Linked DNA regions of Drosophila melanogaster. The protein of the gene in region 1 interacts with the protein of each later gene in a pairwise test. Each region holds a gene or a part of one and is shown in the gene's direction. Other genes may lie near its edges.

What was found.
Region 2: the proteins of CG9467 (region 1) and Osi18 interact in a two-hybrid assay, tested with the Drosophila melanogaster proteins (one large-scale study listed by BioGRID).
Region 3: the proteins of CG9467 (region 1) and promL interact in a two-hybrid assay, tested with the Drosophila melanogaster proteins (one large-scale study listed by BioGRID).
Region 4: the proteins of CG9467 (region 1) and atlas interact in a two-hybrid assay, tested with the Drosophila melanogaster proteins (one large-scale study listed by BioGRID).

The regions. Positions count from the first base shown.
Region 1 is NT_033777.3:9,797,263-9,803,003, reverse strand, and holds CG9467 (uncharacterized protein), read left to right. Parts: upstream 1-1,977; 5' UTR 1,978-2,273; coding exon 2,274-2,335; intron 2,336-2,413; coding exon 2,414-4,544; coding exon of another isoform or gene 4,545-4,715; 3' UTR 4,716-5,235; downstream 5,236-5,741. Other genes in the region: CG8526 (uncharacterized protein), read right to left, coding at 1-1,090, 1,152-1,375, 1,428-1,524.
Region 2 is NT_033777.3:6,328,711-6,332,334, forward strand, and holds Osi18 (osiris 18), read left to right. Parts: upstream 1-1,537; 5' UTR 1,538-1,640; coding exon 1,641-2,082; intron 2,083-2,374; coding exon 2,375-2,853; 3' UTR 2,854-3,099; downstream 3,100-3,624.
Region 3 is NT_037436.4:3,124,723-3,129,401, reverse strand, and holds the start of promL (prominin-like), read left to right. Parts: upstream 1-1,677; 5' UTR 1,678-1,749; intron 1,750-2,185; exon of another isoform or gene 2,186-2,376; 5' UTR 2,377-2,535; intron 2,536-4,679. Other genes in the region: CG11537 (uncharacterized protein), read left to right, coding at 1-76.
Region 4 is NT_033778.4:23,282,442-23,286,341, forward strand, and holds atlas (atlas), read left to right. Parts: upstream 1-1,785; 5' UTR 1,786-1,862; coding exon 1,863-2,381; 3' UTR 2,382-2,403; exon of another isoform or gene 2,404-2,407; intron 2,408-2,470; 3' UTR 2,471-3,380; downstream 3,381-3,900. Other genes in the region: CG3124 (uncharacterized protein), read right to left, coding at 484-518, 577-635, 712-1,412, 1,471-1,527.

The DNA.
Region 1 (5,741 bases):
GGTTGAATCGATCGTGGACATTTACCGGACAGCCGGCGGAAATTAGAAAGCAAACGCAGTTCAGTTTGCCCAGGAAGCAGGCCAGGTGCATGGCGGAGCGACCATCGCAGTTGGTGTCGCACAGATTGGCGCCGTACTGCTTAAGATCGCCCAACTTGTGGACATCACCTTCGGTGACCGCGGCCGCCACCAAAGCGGGATAGAATGTGGAGCACATCTGCTGCCGTTCCATCGCCGTCGACATGTGCAATGTGCGGGCCACGCCCTCGATCAGATCAATGTCGTTAATCTTGGCAACCTTATTGGTGGTCAGCTCTCCGCGCAAACTTAGTAGCATCACCTTCTTCTTGTTGGGAATGTCCCACTCCGGCTTGGACAGCACATAGGCCAGTTTGGTAAAGGCTGCCTCCTGAGTCATATCGTAGCCGGGTATTACGCCCACTTCCATCAGACCCTGGCTTGTCTCGTAAATGTTGGCCACCATGCCCGCCGAGCACTGCGTAATGTTGACAATAATAACGCCTCTGTGAACCGCCTCCCTCAGTTCGTCCAGCAAGTCCTCACGATTAACCGGAAAATTGCCGGCCCCAAAGGTCTGGAGGACAACACCTTTCGTTGGCTCTTTCAGGATTGCCTGCACCACACTGGCACTTATTCCCGGGTAAATACGCAGCAGCGCCACGTTCTTTTCGAGTTCCGAATGAAGTGAAAATGGTTTAATATTGCACGGTCGGAAGATTTGGCGGCTGTTGATCTCAATGTTGACACTCGCCCGACCCAATGGTGCAAAATTTGGTGAGTCCAGTGCGTGAAAAGAGTCAGAATTGAGCTTCGTGGAGCGACAGCCACGTAGAATCTTGTTGCCGAAGAAGACCAGCACTTCGGGTATACTGTAATTTCCTGCTATGAGAAGTGCGCCCAAGAAGTTCTCCCGCCCATCGCTGCGGGCTTCAAAGATCGGAATCTGTGCCCCAGTGAATACCACGGGCTTGTTCAGGCTCTCAAGCATGAACGCTAGTGCCGAGGCGGAGTAGGCTAGGGTATCCGTTCCATGGAGGATCACAAAGCCGTCGTAGGACTTGTATGTCTTCTGCGAAAAAAGTTAGTTGCATATTTTGTATTAACCTGATGATCCTCGACTCTCAACTTACTCCCACTTCGTTGGCAATGCGCTTCCAGTCGCAGAAGCCCATGCAGCTGGAGTCCATCAGTGGGCAGAACTCAATCAAATCGTAAAGGACTCTATACGGAGCTCCAGACACTGCGGGTAGCACCATCATGGGACCATCATTATCCTTGCTGGTGTAATTCCTGTCGTGGCAGCTGGGAAACTCTTGAAGCTGCCGAGCCAGCACCTTGGGCGCGGTGTGCAGTACTGATGAGAAACAATTGATTAGTACACGGACAAGAGCCATTGATATACCCACCTCCGGACTCGTTGCGGATCATTCCGATGGTTCCACCCACGTAGATGACATGGACGCGAGCCTCCTTCTTCAAACAACCGCACTTCGCCGCCGGCATTTTGGGCTTTTTCGAAATTTTGAGTGGTGTCCGAAACTAAACTAAAGCGTAGTTCCAAAGGCTCAGAGTGTGACAGCAAGATCCATGAGCTTTTTGTTTTGATGCTTAATACAAGTCATAACTTTACAATATTTTCAAATTTACCACCAAGCGAAATAAACCGTTGCTTGACGAAAAGGTGGTATGACCGTATTGCATGGGAATTTAACCGAGAGTTAGAGATGTACACTGCTTCACAAGAAATATCGTTGCTTATAATTGTGGAAATGCATATACTTTCTGATGCCCAAATTAATTTTATTTCTATATTAATTATTTTTTAATGATGAATTGTTGTTTGGAAACCATCAAAAACCTTGGTGAGTTAACACATACAAAATCAAAAGTGGAAAGTTCAGCAAAACAACTAAATGCAACAGGGACCCCCCGTAAACAGTGACTCGTCATGGCTGGGAACAGTCACGACCAATTTGCCCATCCCTAGTTTCTACAGTGCAGTGCAACAAATAATAAATAAATAAATAGCCTGGCACAAAGAGTTAATCGAATAAATTGCACCCCGCAGCGCACGTCAAGTGGGTTGGGTACCGAAATCGCGAGTTATCTGCTCCGCTGACGCCGCTGCCACTGCTCCGCCATATCAGTTGCTGATTGGAGCGCTGGGAGCACGGAAGCCACACAAATAGAGGCGCATTTAGAGCAATCCCCACCGTCCGCTGCTGCGGCAGCCCGCGGGTCATCGGATTGCCATGTCCCACTTCACGCATGCCTCCAGCAGCGACCTGGTCAACCTCAATGTGGGTGGTCAGCGGTAAGAACAAAGAACCAACACATTACGGCCCACTAACGGCATTGATGACGCATGCAAACTCCATCTCACTATCCATAGCTTTTCCACGTCGCGGCAAACGCTTACGTGGATCCCGGACACCTTCTTCACGGCTCTTCTCAGCGGACGCATCTCGAGTCTCAGAGACGAGCACAATGCCATCTTTATTGATCGCGATCCGACGCTCTTCTCGATCATACTTAACTACTTAAGGACCAAGGACATCGACATCAAGAACTGCGAAATACGCGCTCTGCGCCATGAGGCCGAGTACTATGGCATCACGCCGCTGACCAAGCGCCTGGCCCTCTGCGAAGACCTTAACCACTCGTCCTGCGGTGATTTGCTGTTCTACGGATTTCTGGCGGCGCCGCCCATGCCGTCAAACGAAGCTGTGGCTGCTACTAGCGTTGACGAGTCATTGCCCTCCACTTCGGCCAGTGCGATTGGCAGTCGTCCTGGGTCCATGGTGCGCGTTCCCGAACCCTCACGCTCCTCACACTCGCGCAATTCATCATGGGATCTGCGCCTTGGTCGCACAGGTAGCACTGGCAATGGTGCCAATCCCCCAGCTCCCATGTTGCACTCACGTAATCCCTCGATTGACTTTATGCGCCACTCTCGGAACTCCTCGGCCGATCTGAACAAAGTCTTTCGAAACGAAGTTGGCCTGGTATTCAGTCCCACGCAGAACTCAAACTGGGTGGACCCGTTGCGAGTGCAAATCATTAAGGCGCACCAAAATTGGATAGCAGTGGCTTACGCACACTTTGTGACTTGCTACCGGGTGAAAGACTCCAACGGATGGCAGCAGGTGTTCACATCGCCCCACATCGACGCCACTATCGAAAGAATCGCCATCAACTCAAAGGTGAATACTTCCGCAGCAGAGCCACTGCCCAGCAAGATGGTGGCCATTTCTTACGGCAGTCAGATAAGATTGTGGAGCATTCAGGAGGGCGGCCAGAAAACGGATGTGGGCACGTTTAATTTAAATGTGCGAGTGGAGTACCTGTTCTTTATCGGCAGTCAGCTGGTGGCCCTGTCATCTTCCGGCAAGATCGGCGTCTGGCATGCGATGACGCAGCACTGGCAGATTCAGGACCTAGTGCCCGTGCTCTCATTCGATTCCGCAGGCTCTTTTTTGCTGCTGGGCTGCAACAACGGCTCCATTTACTACATAGACATGCAGAAGTTCCCGCTCCGGATAAAGGACAATGATTTACTGGTTACCGAGCTCTACAAAGATGTCACACTAGACCCTATCACGGCCATCTCGGTCTACCTTACCCCAAAAACCTCGAGCATAAGTGGCAATTGGATTGAAATTGCCTATGGCACAAAGTCGGGAGCGGTTCGAATCATTGTCCAGCATCCGGAGACAGCTGGCCATGGACCACACCTGTTCGAGACCTTCTTTGTGCACCAAAGCCCCGTAACGAAGGTGATGCTGTCGGAGAAATACCTCGTCTCCGTGTGCAGCGAATACCACCACGTGCGAACATGGCGTCTGACCCGCTTCCGGGGCATGCTCTCCACCCAGCCGGGATCCACGCCGGAAGCATCGTTCAAAATCGTGTCGCTGGAAGCTACCGATACGAGCTACAGCTATGCGGCTGGAAATGATTTTGGACCTTACGGTGACTACGACGACATGATATTTGTGCAAAAGGTGGTGCCCGAGACGGATCAGCTGTACGTACGCTTGGCCTCCAACGGTGATCGGGTGTGCGTCATTAGATCCGTAGATAGCTCCACAATTTCGGCCTTCTGTGTGCTCGAGTGCGAGGTATCGTCCCGGTTCATACTCACCGGTCACTGCAACGGCGCTATTCAAATGTGGGACCTAACCACTGCACTGGCGCTGCTCTCCAAGGATGAGCCGCAGCAGAAAATCAATGGCGGACCCGACACCAATGAGCTTCTCCGCCTACTTGACCAGTGTGAAATCAGCAATTCATCATGCACAACACCTTGTATGTCACCGTGTCTATCAGCTATGGGCAACGGCTCTGGAATGGCCTCCTCCATAGCCCGCATGAAAGCCAGCAACATAGCCCTGCTAAATCGGGAACCAGCAATGGCAATGGCCGTCCAAGCCGTCCAGCCGCCCGCTCAGGTCCAACCTGCTCTTCCAGAGGCTGTGGCGCCGGCAGCTGCTATCCCGATGGCTGACGACAACAACGAATGAGACGTGGAAGCGGCTGCTTGATTGGCGCTTGTCGGGCGCGTTTCATCGTTTACATTTCACAGGTATAGCTTAATCTTCGACTACCAGTTTATATTCCTGCAGTTCGTGGTGTGCGCCCTCATCTACGTCTGGGTGACGCGACTCACCCGCGGTCCAGCCACTGGGCCGTGATGAACTGCCAGCAGGCATTTACCCAATCAATTAATCTCCATTATATGTGCTCGATGTGTTTGCAAATGCAATGTGTATCCCGTAAACCCATTTTTTGTGCTCCTCCAAACTTGGATCGTACAGTTAGTAATTTAAAAAAAAAACGTCTGTCTTTGTTCTAGTTAAAGTTATGAAAATTAGTTAAAACCATGTAAACCAGAGTATAAGACTTCTGCAACCGATCATCTATAATTAGCACAACTCTCCTAAAGGGTGCTCCATCAGGACAGATACGAAATCGTTCGGCTTGGATAAGATTGGTTGCCTTAAGCAAAGAAAGTTCATTAAACAGCCAATCAGTTGATTGTCAACCTTGAAGATGATTACTTGTGATTAAAATCGATAGAGCGACTGCTTCAAATTCGAATCTGTCCTGTTGCATGCAATGCCACACATGAATATAATGATACGCCTTGTTGCAACCAGTAAACAGCTATACATATTCAATATAAATAAAGATAATTATACACAAAGAGATATCAAAATAGCGAGCGAGTTGTGTCATCAATAATTTATTGAACATTTTATCTTAGTTTCTTGATGGTTGAAGTGTTCCATTAACATTTATCAAATACAAATACTTGGCTTGCATTCTCGTGGGTGTTGTGTGTGTAAATACGTGTATATACGATATCCTACGCCTATACCGGACCTCAGTAAAGTAAAAAAGCAGCAAAAACGCCAAAACATATAAAAATATATATAATATACATTTGTGTATTGTAGGTAAGTTACCCCAACCCAACCCCGACCGCCATTTAAATATCATTGGCCTAAACACAACCCACTAACGACCGCCGGTGTGCTTAATAAACAATTTAAACAAGTGGCTCGTCAAGTGGGACCCCTGCCTTTAATTTACCTAAAATAGGACGCACTGGTACTGAGATAGAATAATAATAATGGAGTAGATACTTGGAGCGATTACCCACCCTCGCCCGGAAGCAATTGTCGAGCCGTTCATACAAATAGTTTGTACACAAATTC
Region 2 (3,624 bases), 3.5 Mb from region 1:
CTGCTTTAAGTTCAAGGAAAAATATAATTGGGATGGGAAAGAAGATCATTAAAGGGCCTATTTCCTTTTATTCCTTTATACTCGGTATTCTTGTTTATAATTATACTTACAATTTGAAAATTAGGTGGCACTTTAAATATCAAATAATGACTTATTACTAAAACTAATTTAGGGTTTCTATTGGAAGAAATTAAGCCAATTGGTGTTCACCAGGATATCCTTTTAAGCTCAAATACATATAACAAAAAATTGAGAATTGGTAATTTTCATCTGCAACTACTTTAAAACTACAGCCAGGAAATTATCAATGTTCCGATTGTTTCTCCGATTTACAACATTTACCTTGATCTATTGCAATATCGAACGTTTTAGAAATATATTCACCTAGATCTGAACGTTCAAGAGCATTATTATGTGAATGGGATCTTTCTTTTTCCCATAATTTTAATAATAATAATAATAATTCATCGCGTTATTTGTTGGTACATCAAAACTGCACTGTGAGAGCACTAACATTTAGCACAAATGACTTAAATCTAGAAACTGTGCATAAAAAGGTTAGTAATATTTTTTTAATTGCTTACCGCAGTCCCATTTACGGAGTCTCATGAAACTCTCCGCAGACCATAATGTTTTTTCATTAAGATGCAATTAACTTCAAGGTTCAGTTATTTGCAAATCAATTACAGAAAATCGGTGGTTAACGGCTATTCCATTTTGTGATTTTGGTTACCGATCTATTTTCACTCTATTTAAATCTTCCATACAATTTATTTCGTAATAACGCAGAAGTCATACAGCAGTTTTGATTTAATTTTTGATGCCCTACATCACAGGAGATCCATTAAACAATTAACTTCAAACATATCTCAGCATTCATTCAATTCATTCATTCATTCAATTCTATGCAAATGTTCTTACAATTGGAAGGTAAATATTAATACATATTAAAGAACGAATCAAAGCGACTCGATTCACAATGGAGAATGAAATGAAATGGTATTTCTTCAGCTTCCGTGGTCAGCAAGTGCATTTGACTGCCCCCCGTGGGTACAAACGAGTATCCAATCTGCTGGGTGAGTGGTATTTTAATTGGGTTTCCAGGCACGCACCTCGGATTGCTGGGCACTTGATTTTACGAGCGGATCCCCGGCCGTCGATGCAGAAGAAGCCATCAAATAACTTTCAATTATGTGCGGCCCATTATGGCGCGTATTATGCGGGAAATCGTCGCAATGAGGAATTCCTACTCCTCCCACAAAGAGAACAGCGTGCCCATAAAACGTTCGCCTGACCCAATAGACTAGAGTATCGAAATAGAATCAGAGGCCAGAAGCACAGCTAGGGCCATACCTGCACAAAGGTGAAACTCAGGTGGTCAACTTGCGCTTTCCATGACTTTGACAACAAAGCGAAATGGTCGCTAAAGCTGGAGCCCAAAGCGGTGGGCAGAAAAAGAGCTCCGTGCGTACCTGGCATACGCAATTCAATTAGCAAAGTACCGTCGTATAAAAACCAAGCGGTTCCCATGCGACATTTGCATAACCCGCTGAGTGGCCAACGCGTGCGCACCACCAAACCACCTGACCACCGGACCATCGAACCAGAGTGAGAGTTGAGGACTAACCGTCGTCGAAAGGATGAAGAGCACCGCCGCTTGTCTGATAGTCGCCCTTGCGGCGCTGTCCACCGCCCACTCGGCGCCCACCGAAGGTCAGGTGGCGCCCCAGTCCGCCACGCAACTAGCCCTGGACATGTACCATGGCTGCCTTAAGGACCTCAGTGTTTCCTGCGTGCGTCCCAAGGCCCTGCAGTGGTTCAACTCTGCCCTCCGGCAGCCGGAGGTGCGCATCACCGAGCGCCTGTCGATTGTCCGTACCGCGGAGAAGGTCGAGTCCCGATCCATGAACCCGGAGGAGCGCCTCTTCGACGACATCGACAGCTATCTGGGCAGCCACTCGCTGAGGATCCAGGCTCCGGAGTACTTCCGCACCTCGGAAGCCCGCTCCCTGGTGCCCGACTTCCTCATGTCGAATCCGCTTACTCAGGGAGGATTAGTTCCCCTGGCAGCTGCTAACGAAGGTAAGAACTCAAGATCTAAGTCAGATAAAAAAGTAATGATGACGATCCAAAACGAGCTTACGTTTTTTCAAAATAACATTCAATTCGCAACACAGTGTCAGAAACAAGTGTTGATACTAATTATTGAAATGCCACTCTTGTGTTTAATAGAAATCGTTAAACTAATTTGAATATGACAAATGGCATTATCAAAAATTTCAAAAATGTTTAGGGTTTATGCAAATCAGCATACAAATATTTGGATTTTTACCACTTGTGATAAATCTAATCTGTATTTTTCCTACTTTTCCAGGACGTGGCATGATCCGCAAGGCAGTTCTGCCCTTCCTTCTGGGCCTGAAACTGAAGACCACTGTGCTGGTGCCACTGGCCTTGGGACTCATTGCCCTAAAGACCTGGAAGGCCATGACCTTGGGCCTGCTCTCATTGGTGCTGTCTGGAGCCTTGGTTATTTTCAAGATTGCCAAGCCCAAGATTGTCAACTACGAGGTGGTGCACTATCCCCATCACGTGGATCATGTGGTGCCGCATCACATTGAGCACGTGGTGCCCCACCACATCGAGCACGTGGTGCCCCACCACATCGAGCACATAGTGCCGCATCACATCGATCATCATCTGGAGCACCACATCGATCACCACGTGGATCTGCCCGTGGAGCACATCGAGCACCTGGAGCACCCATCGCCCGCCTGGGATCCTCATGCCTGGGCCCGATCCTCGCAAGAGCCGCAGGATGCCCAGGACTTGGCCTACGCGGGTCAGAAGTGAACATGGGTCTAGAGACCAAAACCCCCCTTACGAAATTCGGCCAAACTGTAACCTTATTTATTTCGTTCTAAGTTAAGTAGCTGAAACACACCGCTCTCGGCGTATTGTTTATTTATTTATTTATTGAGAAGTGTACAAAGCAAAGACCACAAAAAGAACCAAACCCCCAAGGCGTTTTAAAAAGGTACTAAGTGGGAATTAGCTCTGGTGTCCCTTTGTGTAAATATTACTGCAATAAAAACATGCAAAAACGATGTGCCTAATTGAAAACTTTTTTGGAAGTACCAACCCCTCAGCGAAGTGGCTAATTATCCCCAAAACTTTTCTAATGCGAGGAGTTTCACTTTGGGGGTCTGTTGAATTAACCCAGGAGATTCCGGCAAATGAAATGCCACAGAATAATGAGTGCAACTTCTGGCCAAAGTGCCTGATAAAAATGCCAATGAGCACTTTTAGAAAACTCTGCAGAGTAAGGGGAAGCCACAGAGGAATCCTTAATGAAATGCACACATTTTTATATGCCACGTGGAAAAAGATGCTTTGTCCTAGAAATACACTGCGAAAAGAAAGTGTTTCTTTCCTTATTATGTAGCTTTGAAACGTGTACTATGATCAAGATAAGGAATGGATTGCGTTTCCCCATCCTAACGATAGGCTGAACCTTTTCATTAAGTTTTATTATCTGTTTTGATAGAAATGGAAATCCATCTCATTTGTGGGAATGTAAGTATTTCATTTTCTTTACATACTTTCAGGGGATTGGATGCCTGT
Region 3 (4,679 bases), on another chromosome or scaffold:
CGAGATTGAGCCGGGTCACAAGGCGCCCAGCTCACTGGCGCCGCTCATTCGCTCCGACTCGCTGGCGCAGCTGTAGTGCGCTCCATTGCCGGCGTCCTATCCACACAACTTGAACCCAGCTGGTGGCTATAGATACGTATAAGCAGTGTTAAGGAGTTAAGGATTTTGTAACTGTAAACAAATGCTGTAACTAGTTTGGCTTTAGTTTCCGAGTCTATTCTATTAGGTGCATATATATCGCAGATCAGGCCGAGATAATGTTATTGTTTTGATGGTTAGATCTTCGTTTTACCTTAGTTTCCACAACGCACCTTGTCACACCACAAACCACCTCAGCCCAATTATATTTCGTAATTAATTTATTATTGCCTAAGTAACGTAGTCACATATATTCGATTCGATTGGCCCGTGTGCTTGCCCGCTTTTCCAGCTTCTGGCTTCTGTTTCCGTTTGCAATGCTTTTGCGACTGTTGGTTCTCTTTGGGTTGGGATTACATCACTGCTAGAGCTAATAATGTTTTGCAACAACAACAAAATAACTGCCAAATAATAACAAAAAAAAAACCAAGTAAGTGTAATCCGATATCTTTGAATGAAATCGCGTAAATTCAGCACAGCACAATACTGTATCCCGAATATCGAATCGCATTACTAATTTAGTTCACCCCAAAGCCGTTTAGTTACAACAATTAGGAAGAGGAAAATCCAAATAAACTGAATACCAAGCTTTACTTTGAAAATCGTAGTGATTTAAAGTCTAAACTCTAATGAAATGAATTGCAAATTATGATGAATTTGGTCACAAACTAGGCGACTTTAACCGCAAACCACAAGGTATATACAAAATAAATATGTATATATATTTATATATATAAATAGAGAGATATATGTATGGGTACTGACGACACAAAACGAATGTTTTTAATTTAGCCGATTGCGAAGTTAACGCCTCCGATCATGTGCAACGCTATAGTTTTTATTTTGATAATAACGCAACTTAATGCAGAGCCTTCAACAAAGTCAATGCTTGAACGTGTAGGGAGCACACGTGCATGTGTATGTATAGTATAGTACCATAGATATCAAAGTTATATTTTTCGATGTTGCTACAATCGTGTAAAACTTCCCCACTTGCTCCTCCCCCTCCCATAAATGAAAACATGCAGACATAGGACGTACGTACATACACATCCACCCGTGTGAGCAGTGGACGACAGGTGGTCAATGGAGTAGTGCCCCCGGAAGAAAAATCGGGGGTACATATACGAGAAAACTGAATCCAAATTTTGATTGTAAATTATTTAACGTCTAACATAGTGTTTTAAACGAAACCAAAATAAACAAAATTGTTTAATGAAACGCTAGTACAATGAATTCGAGACTCCTATATCTGGAAAAGGAAGAGGCTAAGTATTGAATCTAATTTGTGGGAACTGTGGTTAAAAGAGCTAAATCTTAATTTATATACTCCTTACGCATTGTGTCGCATTACAGAAACAAGATCCAAAAAAATTTGAATTTAAACTTAGTTTCCGGTTATGATTTGCGTCTCCGGTTAACGGTTTTTTTATAGTATTCTTCCAGGGCTCCGTCGGTTTTCCGGTATACATTTAGTATTTAATTTCGGCGTATTTTTGCGCATTTATATAAGCCACGAACGGGTATTCCCTGGCTCCGCGCACTGTCACATTGGTCCAGAACTCTTTGAAATGCGAAGTTTTTCGATCGGATAAATTTGGAATAGAAAAGGTGAACATCCGGGGCGGATCTAGTCTGAATGGAGCGTGCCTTCGCGTGACTGAAACCCGATTGGCCACGCCTACTGCCACGGGAAAATATGAAAAGCGAGTGAAAATCACAACAAGCGCCAGGTGTAACTGGCAAACAAAGAATGTTTCGAAAGGGCGGTGCAGTGCAGTGATACATACAAAAACAACGCCAACTATATATATATATATATATATATGTATATAAGTATATGTACAACATGTGTGTGCGTGCTCGTTTTAAAATCGCTTAAAGAGACTTACTTCGGATTATAAAATATCCATGTTTTCCATGGAACTTGCTACCAAGAACTCCAATTAGGCCAAAAGGGCCACTGGAAGCTGGAAAAGTGGGAAATCCTCGTTGCGCCAGCGACCTTAATTTTTGTTGTTTTTTCTTTGTTCAACAAACTTTCCCAACGGTTTTGATTTATCTGTTAATATTACCCCAAATTCGACTGGAATTTTACACGATTTAACACGAACAACCATTAGTTTTGTAAAACGAAGCCCAAGTCATTTTTATAAGTTGAACAAGCTGCACTCTTAGCTGTCCAAATTGGGTGTTTTATTGAAAGTCCGGCGACGTAATCCTCCGCTTCCCTTCCAGCATCCGTTGGGGGATACGAGCCTGGAAGTCTGAAACTGCCACCGATCGCTGGATCCTACGGCTAATTGGATTTGGACGCCGCGTCGCATCATCATCATCTTTCACGTGCCCGAGTCCAACAGCCAGCTTAATTGGCTTAGGCGGCGGTTGTCGATGTTGGTGAGTGTCCGTCGGCTCATTTATGCTGTTTATTTCAATTTACCCAGCCCGAGAAGCGAGTTATTCAATTTGCGGTGTCGAATTAGTAGGTATAGCGCCCTTCCTGTCTCGAAATGTATGCTCCGCCCTCCCTTCTCGCCCAGAAATCCCACCTGGCGGCACTGCACTAATTGCTCCATCCCAACAAAACACTCAAAAAAGGAACTCCCGCAGACATAGACACGCACCCGCAGATGTATATACACTATACATATATTTCGGTGTAGATATGTGCCACACATCCCTGACCTGAGATACAAGTGCGTGTGGTGGGAACGACACCCAGCCGAGCGGAATCCGTGTATTTATAGAGTTTCGGGGTCTATTCTATCATTTCCCAGCCACACACTTTGCAGAACTTGGAAGCAGACTCTGAAAAAAAGCCCCACGTGATAGATTTAGCTTGAATAGGCAGAATTATAAATCTAATCTTTACAAAAACGGGAAGCATTTGTTGATTTCATTCGAAATTCGAGCTCGAAGTTGAGCCGAGAAAAAATAATCAAAATAAAAATAGTCAAAAAGCTCAGATGACTTTCAACAGTAAGCGATTGTTTTTGCTTTGTTTAGGATTAAAGTAAGATAAACATTAAAGCAAACCAAACAAGTTGATTCTAACCGACTAAGCGGTTTGCATGACTATTTTCAAATTCCAAAAATAAAAAAATGCAAATAGGGATAACGTTTCCAGAATGACAAGTCTGGGTATAAATAATTAAATGTAAAGCCACTTGCTCAAATAGCACTAATAAACAAGATATGTAGAATGCTAAATCCGAGATGAAAGTTATAAACATAATAACAAACACTGTACTATTATTTATGTATATGAAAACGCAGAGATAAGCGCAGAGTTTCGAATCATTAATCAAATACTCCAAACGCAAATGGAGAACTTATGACGCTGGTCGAAATCCGAAGACAAACGGAAAATGGACACAAGTTCATCCAAGGTTTACAATATGATAAGCGATTGGATAAGCTGGCAAGAAATTTGCCAACCTTCATATCAGATTCGCTGAGCAATGAAGCTGACTCAACTTTCAGTATCAAGATGATATAATGCATCTGCGGGCACGTGAGCATCTTCTGTTTCTGTCAGTGTACATGGCTTCCGTTTCTTCCTAAAAGTATAGCGAACTGCTTCTCGATCGTCTGCACCTTTTTTTTATAACTTTTCAGTTCATTTCCGCCCCTTTTCTCCGACTTCCTTTGTTTGGATTCGTTCAGTTCAGTTCAGTTTTCATCTAAAGAAGTTTACTTTGTATCTGCTTGTGTGATTAGCCCATTTTTCTGCGCTTTTTATCGGGGAGTGAGTCAGTCACGAGAAACGAGTTTTTGCTTTGGCACGACTTCACTCCATCGGCAGGGCAACCTGTTCTCTTGCGATGTCTTTCGCCTCGAACCGCCGTCCATGGACTCCACCTCCCAGCCGGCTGTTCCAAATTCGATGTGGATGTCACTTGGCGGAGGCGGTCCGAAATGAAAAGATGTGGATGCTGCAAAGTGTGTGTTCTCAATTCGGTCGAAAAGTTAGCTGCACTTTTCTGGGGAAAATTTTATATTTATAAACAGATTAATCACACACATCCCACTTGGAATTTGAAGATGACTCTGGGTCATTGTGTCATCTTTGGTTATCTCTGATTCAGACTCTTTCCGGCCTCGTAAATCAGTAAAGTTCAGTGCTGCTATATACTTATGGTCTATGTAAAAATAATCTTAATGGCATCCATTTCATAGAACTCTCGGAGTTCTTGAGAACGGAATTACTAGATAATTGAAGGAATATGTTCAACTCTGACATTATAAGAAAACGTTTTCAATTTGACAACTGCTAGACCACTTATTATTCCAAGTTATCAGCAATGCTGATTGCTGTCATTGGTCGTCATAAAACCTATTTATTCTAGTATACATTCCAATAATAACTGCAGACGATTTACGTTCATGGGAATTCTTTTAAATATTTATTTACCACTCAGCCATTTTTCTTCGGGACTGGCATTGATTATGGCTCTATGGATAGGGGGAGAGCGGTAATTGTTGTTATTAATGCAACCTTCACTTTGTATTTAATTCTTTTGTTTATACAAGCCATAAGC
Region 4 (3,900 bases), on another chromosome or scaffold:
ACCAACCAACCAACCAACTGATGCCTTTTGCCGATAAAGCCATTGTTTATACTCCGCACAGCGACTGGGTTGTGGATTGCATTTTGGCCATAAGTTGGCAACATTTTTTATGCGTTCATCATGCGGTCAGCATAAATTTTTCATCGCCATTTCAGCTTTTCCCTCGTCCAATTTTCCTTGGCCGAGCCCCCCACCCTCCACCACACTCCGCTTGCCGCGAACATGTTGCCAATTTTGATGTCTGATGGCCATAAATCAGGGCGTTTAAAGTCGCCAGATGAAAAACAACGAATGAATAATTCCATTTCGGCCATAAACATATAAACTATTTATTCCACACCAATATGTTTGTGGCCAAGTCTGTGTTTCTTGTGGGTTTGAGTATCTGTTTGCTTGCGTAGGGGAAGTCTTGGAACAAATAAATAAAGAGACACCAATCATGCAAAAGTACAAAAACAACTAATGATGGGCTCAAGGGTTTCGTCAACGCCAATGGGGGACCTTGCTAACCGCTTTTCCTGAAAGCAGAACATTGTATATCATTCTTTTATGCAAAAAAAAAAAGTGAGTACTCACCACAATTGAATGATTGATTGCCTTTGCTGTACTTCGATGAATCGTGTATCGATGGTGCGCTAAGGGTTAGAGATTAAAAAGGATTGCTATGGATCGGATTAGGATGCCGAACGCCCCTGGGCGAGATCTACTTACTTTAGACCGTTCCGCATATCCCGGTACATGGGAGCGTCGTAGGAGGTCTTCATCCGGTTGACCTGTTGGTGTCCCTGGCTCGGCTGCTGATAGTGCTGCTGCTGCTGTTGCTGCTGCTGCTGGTGCTGCTGGTGGTACTGCGGCTGGTGACTCTGCATAGGCTGACTGTATTGCCACATATTGGAGCTGTTCATCATTTGGTTGGGGCTGGGACCGGAGCTCCAGCCGCCAGCTTGCGAGGGCGACGAGGGACAGGGCGCAGACATCACAGCATTGCAGCCGCCCGTCAGACGTCCTTGATGCATTTGGGTGGTAGATCCACTGGGATTGTACTGTTGCAGCGGCTGCATCTGACCCATCGAGGTCATCGGCTGCAGGTCAGGCAGCACTGCATTGATCCCGGGGGCATCGATGGCGCCCATGGGATTGCCCATCATGGGCATCATGGTCATGCTGCTCAGGGGAGTCACCGCTCCAATCGGCAGCTGGGTGGACATCGTGGACATGGGGGTCATCTGATTGCCCCCTTGCATCATGCCCAGCGGCATACCCTGCATTGGGTACGACGAAGCGCCCGACTGGCACACGGGCATCTGCATCTGCAGATTCATCTGCGGTGGATTCAGGGGCTGCATGGCCATGGACTGTCCTTGACCCTGACCTACTCCCATGCTTAGGGGGTACTGAGGAACGCTCTTCATCTGAAATATAGACTTAGACTTATTACCAAGTCTACAGAACCAATGCAACTATGTGTACCTTGGAATCGGCGTACATGCCGTAGTCAGCTTCGTAAGGCACTGAACAAAAATTCATTTTCGATGTGTGGAAAGCTCGAGATACTCCGAAAGTGTTTATAAAATATTTCACTCCAAATTTGTATATAACTTAAATTTTGAGAATTTTTTTTTTCTTACTTTCTACCAATAGATCTGAATCCTACGATGAAATAAATACGAATGAAGTGTGTAGAGGAAAACTTCCCAGACATCTGACAGAGATGGGAAAAGCCTACTATGATTGAATAGAATACAATTTTAGCGTGTTTTTTTCATGATCATCTCAAAGGCTTTGGATAATAATATTATCAAAAACGTCAGAGTATTTATCGTATTGTATATTTCCAAATTACTTGTTATCACATCGAGTAAATGGGACGCAAAGGCCACAAGACTAGAAGGAAAGTTAAAGTCCACTCGAAGGTCCATCCTCCTCAGAAAATTAAAGCGAAGCTGCCGAAAAGAGATAAACGTAGCACACTTCGTCCCAAGATTAATAATTCGAAGGTTTTTCACGTGAACTGCTGCAAGTACAAGATCCGTTCGAGACCCATGAGGCGCAATCAGTGCAACCTGGCCACCCAGTGCCCCTCCCACACGGTCGCCATCGCCCCGTCTGTGCCGCTCCTGCATCATCCTGTCCGGCGGAAGGTGGTCCATATGCCGGAAACCGTGGTCATGCACATGCGGAATATGGAGGACGCCCGCCGAGTGGCGGTTAAGCACAGAAGAACCCTTATTCAAACCCATGTTCCTTCGCCGGATGTGGATGATGACGAAGATACACACCAAATCGATCGGAGGTCAAGGCAAGCCTATAGGATGGGTCAAATGAGACCCTTATCCAGCGACGTGGATGTGGATGACATGGATGTGGACCCGTTTCAGTAGGGATGTGTGTTGGAAATATATTGTAGGTACTGTGGTAATTGTTTAACTTCTCGTTTACAAAATGCCCATGAGTCCTACTTTATTTCTAGTTGCCAATCCACATATCCCGTGAGACGAGGGATTCCATTGCCACTTCTAACTAGTTGCTTCGCCCCATGGGCATATCGTGATCATCCATAAAACCACGCCCCTCCGCCAGTCTCCCCAAGCCCAACCAAGCTGTCCAGGACAATTAATTTTACACCGGCTTGTCAGCTTATTGTTTATCTACATAACTACGGAACACGGAGAACAGAGAACAGAGGACGACTGCCCTGAGCTGTCGTGTCATTTATTCAGCTGCTCCGACCGGGCTCGACTTTCGATATCCTTTGGGCCGCGGTGCAGTTGCCACACCATTTATGCCATTAAGTCATTAGCTTTGTTTAACAAATAACAAACTGTCAATGAGTGATTAACGATGTTTTTCGCATGAACTGCAATTAGCCGCCGCCGCCGCCGCCGCCGCCGCCGACGCCATGGACGTGGACTTCGTCGTTTGCCGCCCGACTTCTTTTTCCTGACAAATGGGTGTGATTTCGCTCCCGGCGGTGCTCCAGTGGATCCGAGGTGCACTGGCTGGATGTGGATTGATGGTGGTGGTGGCGGGCGGATGGTAGATGGTGGGCTCACCGGGTGACAAGCACTCGTTATTGATGCGCCCCCAAGCTGCCGTCACTTGGCAATTATTGTGTATTGTGCTCCGAGTCAACGGCATTTGCCATAGTCATAGACATGGTCGTGGAACAGTCACACTCATCGCAGTTTGCATTTATCATTGAAGGGTAGTGCTGGCATTTTAAGATGCCATTTTAGAATAGTAAAGTGTTGAATAGCATTCAATTAAATTAAAAGTCTTACTTTGCAGCTAATTGATTCATTGGGCATTTGGATATTTGAATAGAAATGATTTGTATGAACCATAGCCTTTTTATCATAACTTGGCCAAAATGAGTCCCACGCCAAAAAAATTAACATTCTTGTACATCTATTGATCTGTACTTTCATTTTGTATCAAATTTTGGTCAAATAAAGAAAATTTTTTTTTTTACAATTTTCGCATTTTTTGTAAGGGGTTACATCGTCAAAATTGGCAAAAAATCTAAAAAAATTAAAATGTTCAAATTGAAATGTCAATCGATTGGGAATATGAATACGAGTTGAACGAGGTACTACAATCAAGATTTTGATCATTTTATCGGTTGCGTTAGCTAAAATACGTGTTTTTGGTCGGAAAAAAGAAGGTTTTTCGCCATATATCAGCCAAGAAGTGTTAGAAACCTCTAGGAATGACTTTTTTGCACAGCTATTGATCCATACTAATGACCCATATAACAAATCTGCAGGTTTTTGAAAATTCGATTTTTGACAATTTTCGCATTTTTTATAAGGGGTAACATCATCAAAATTGGCAAAAAATCGAAAAAAATTAAAATGCTCAAATTGAAATGCCAATCGATTGGGAATACGAATACGAGTT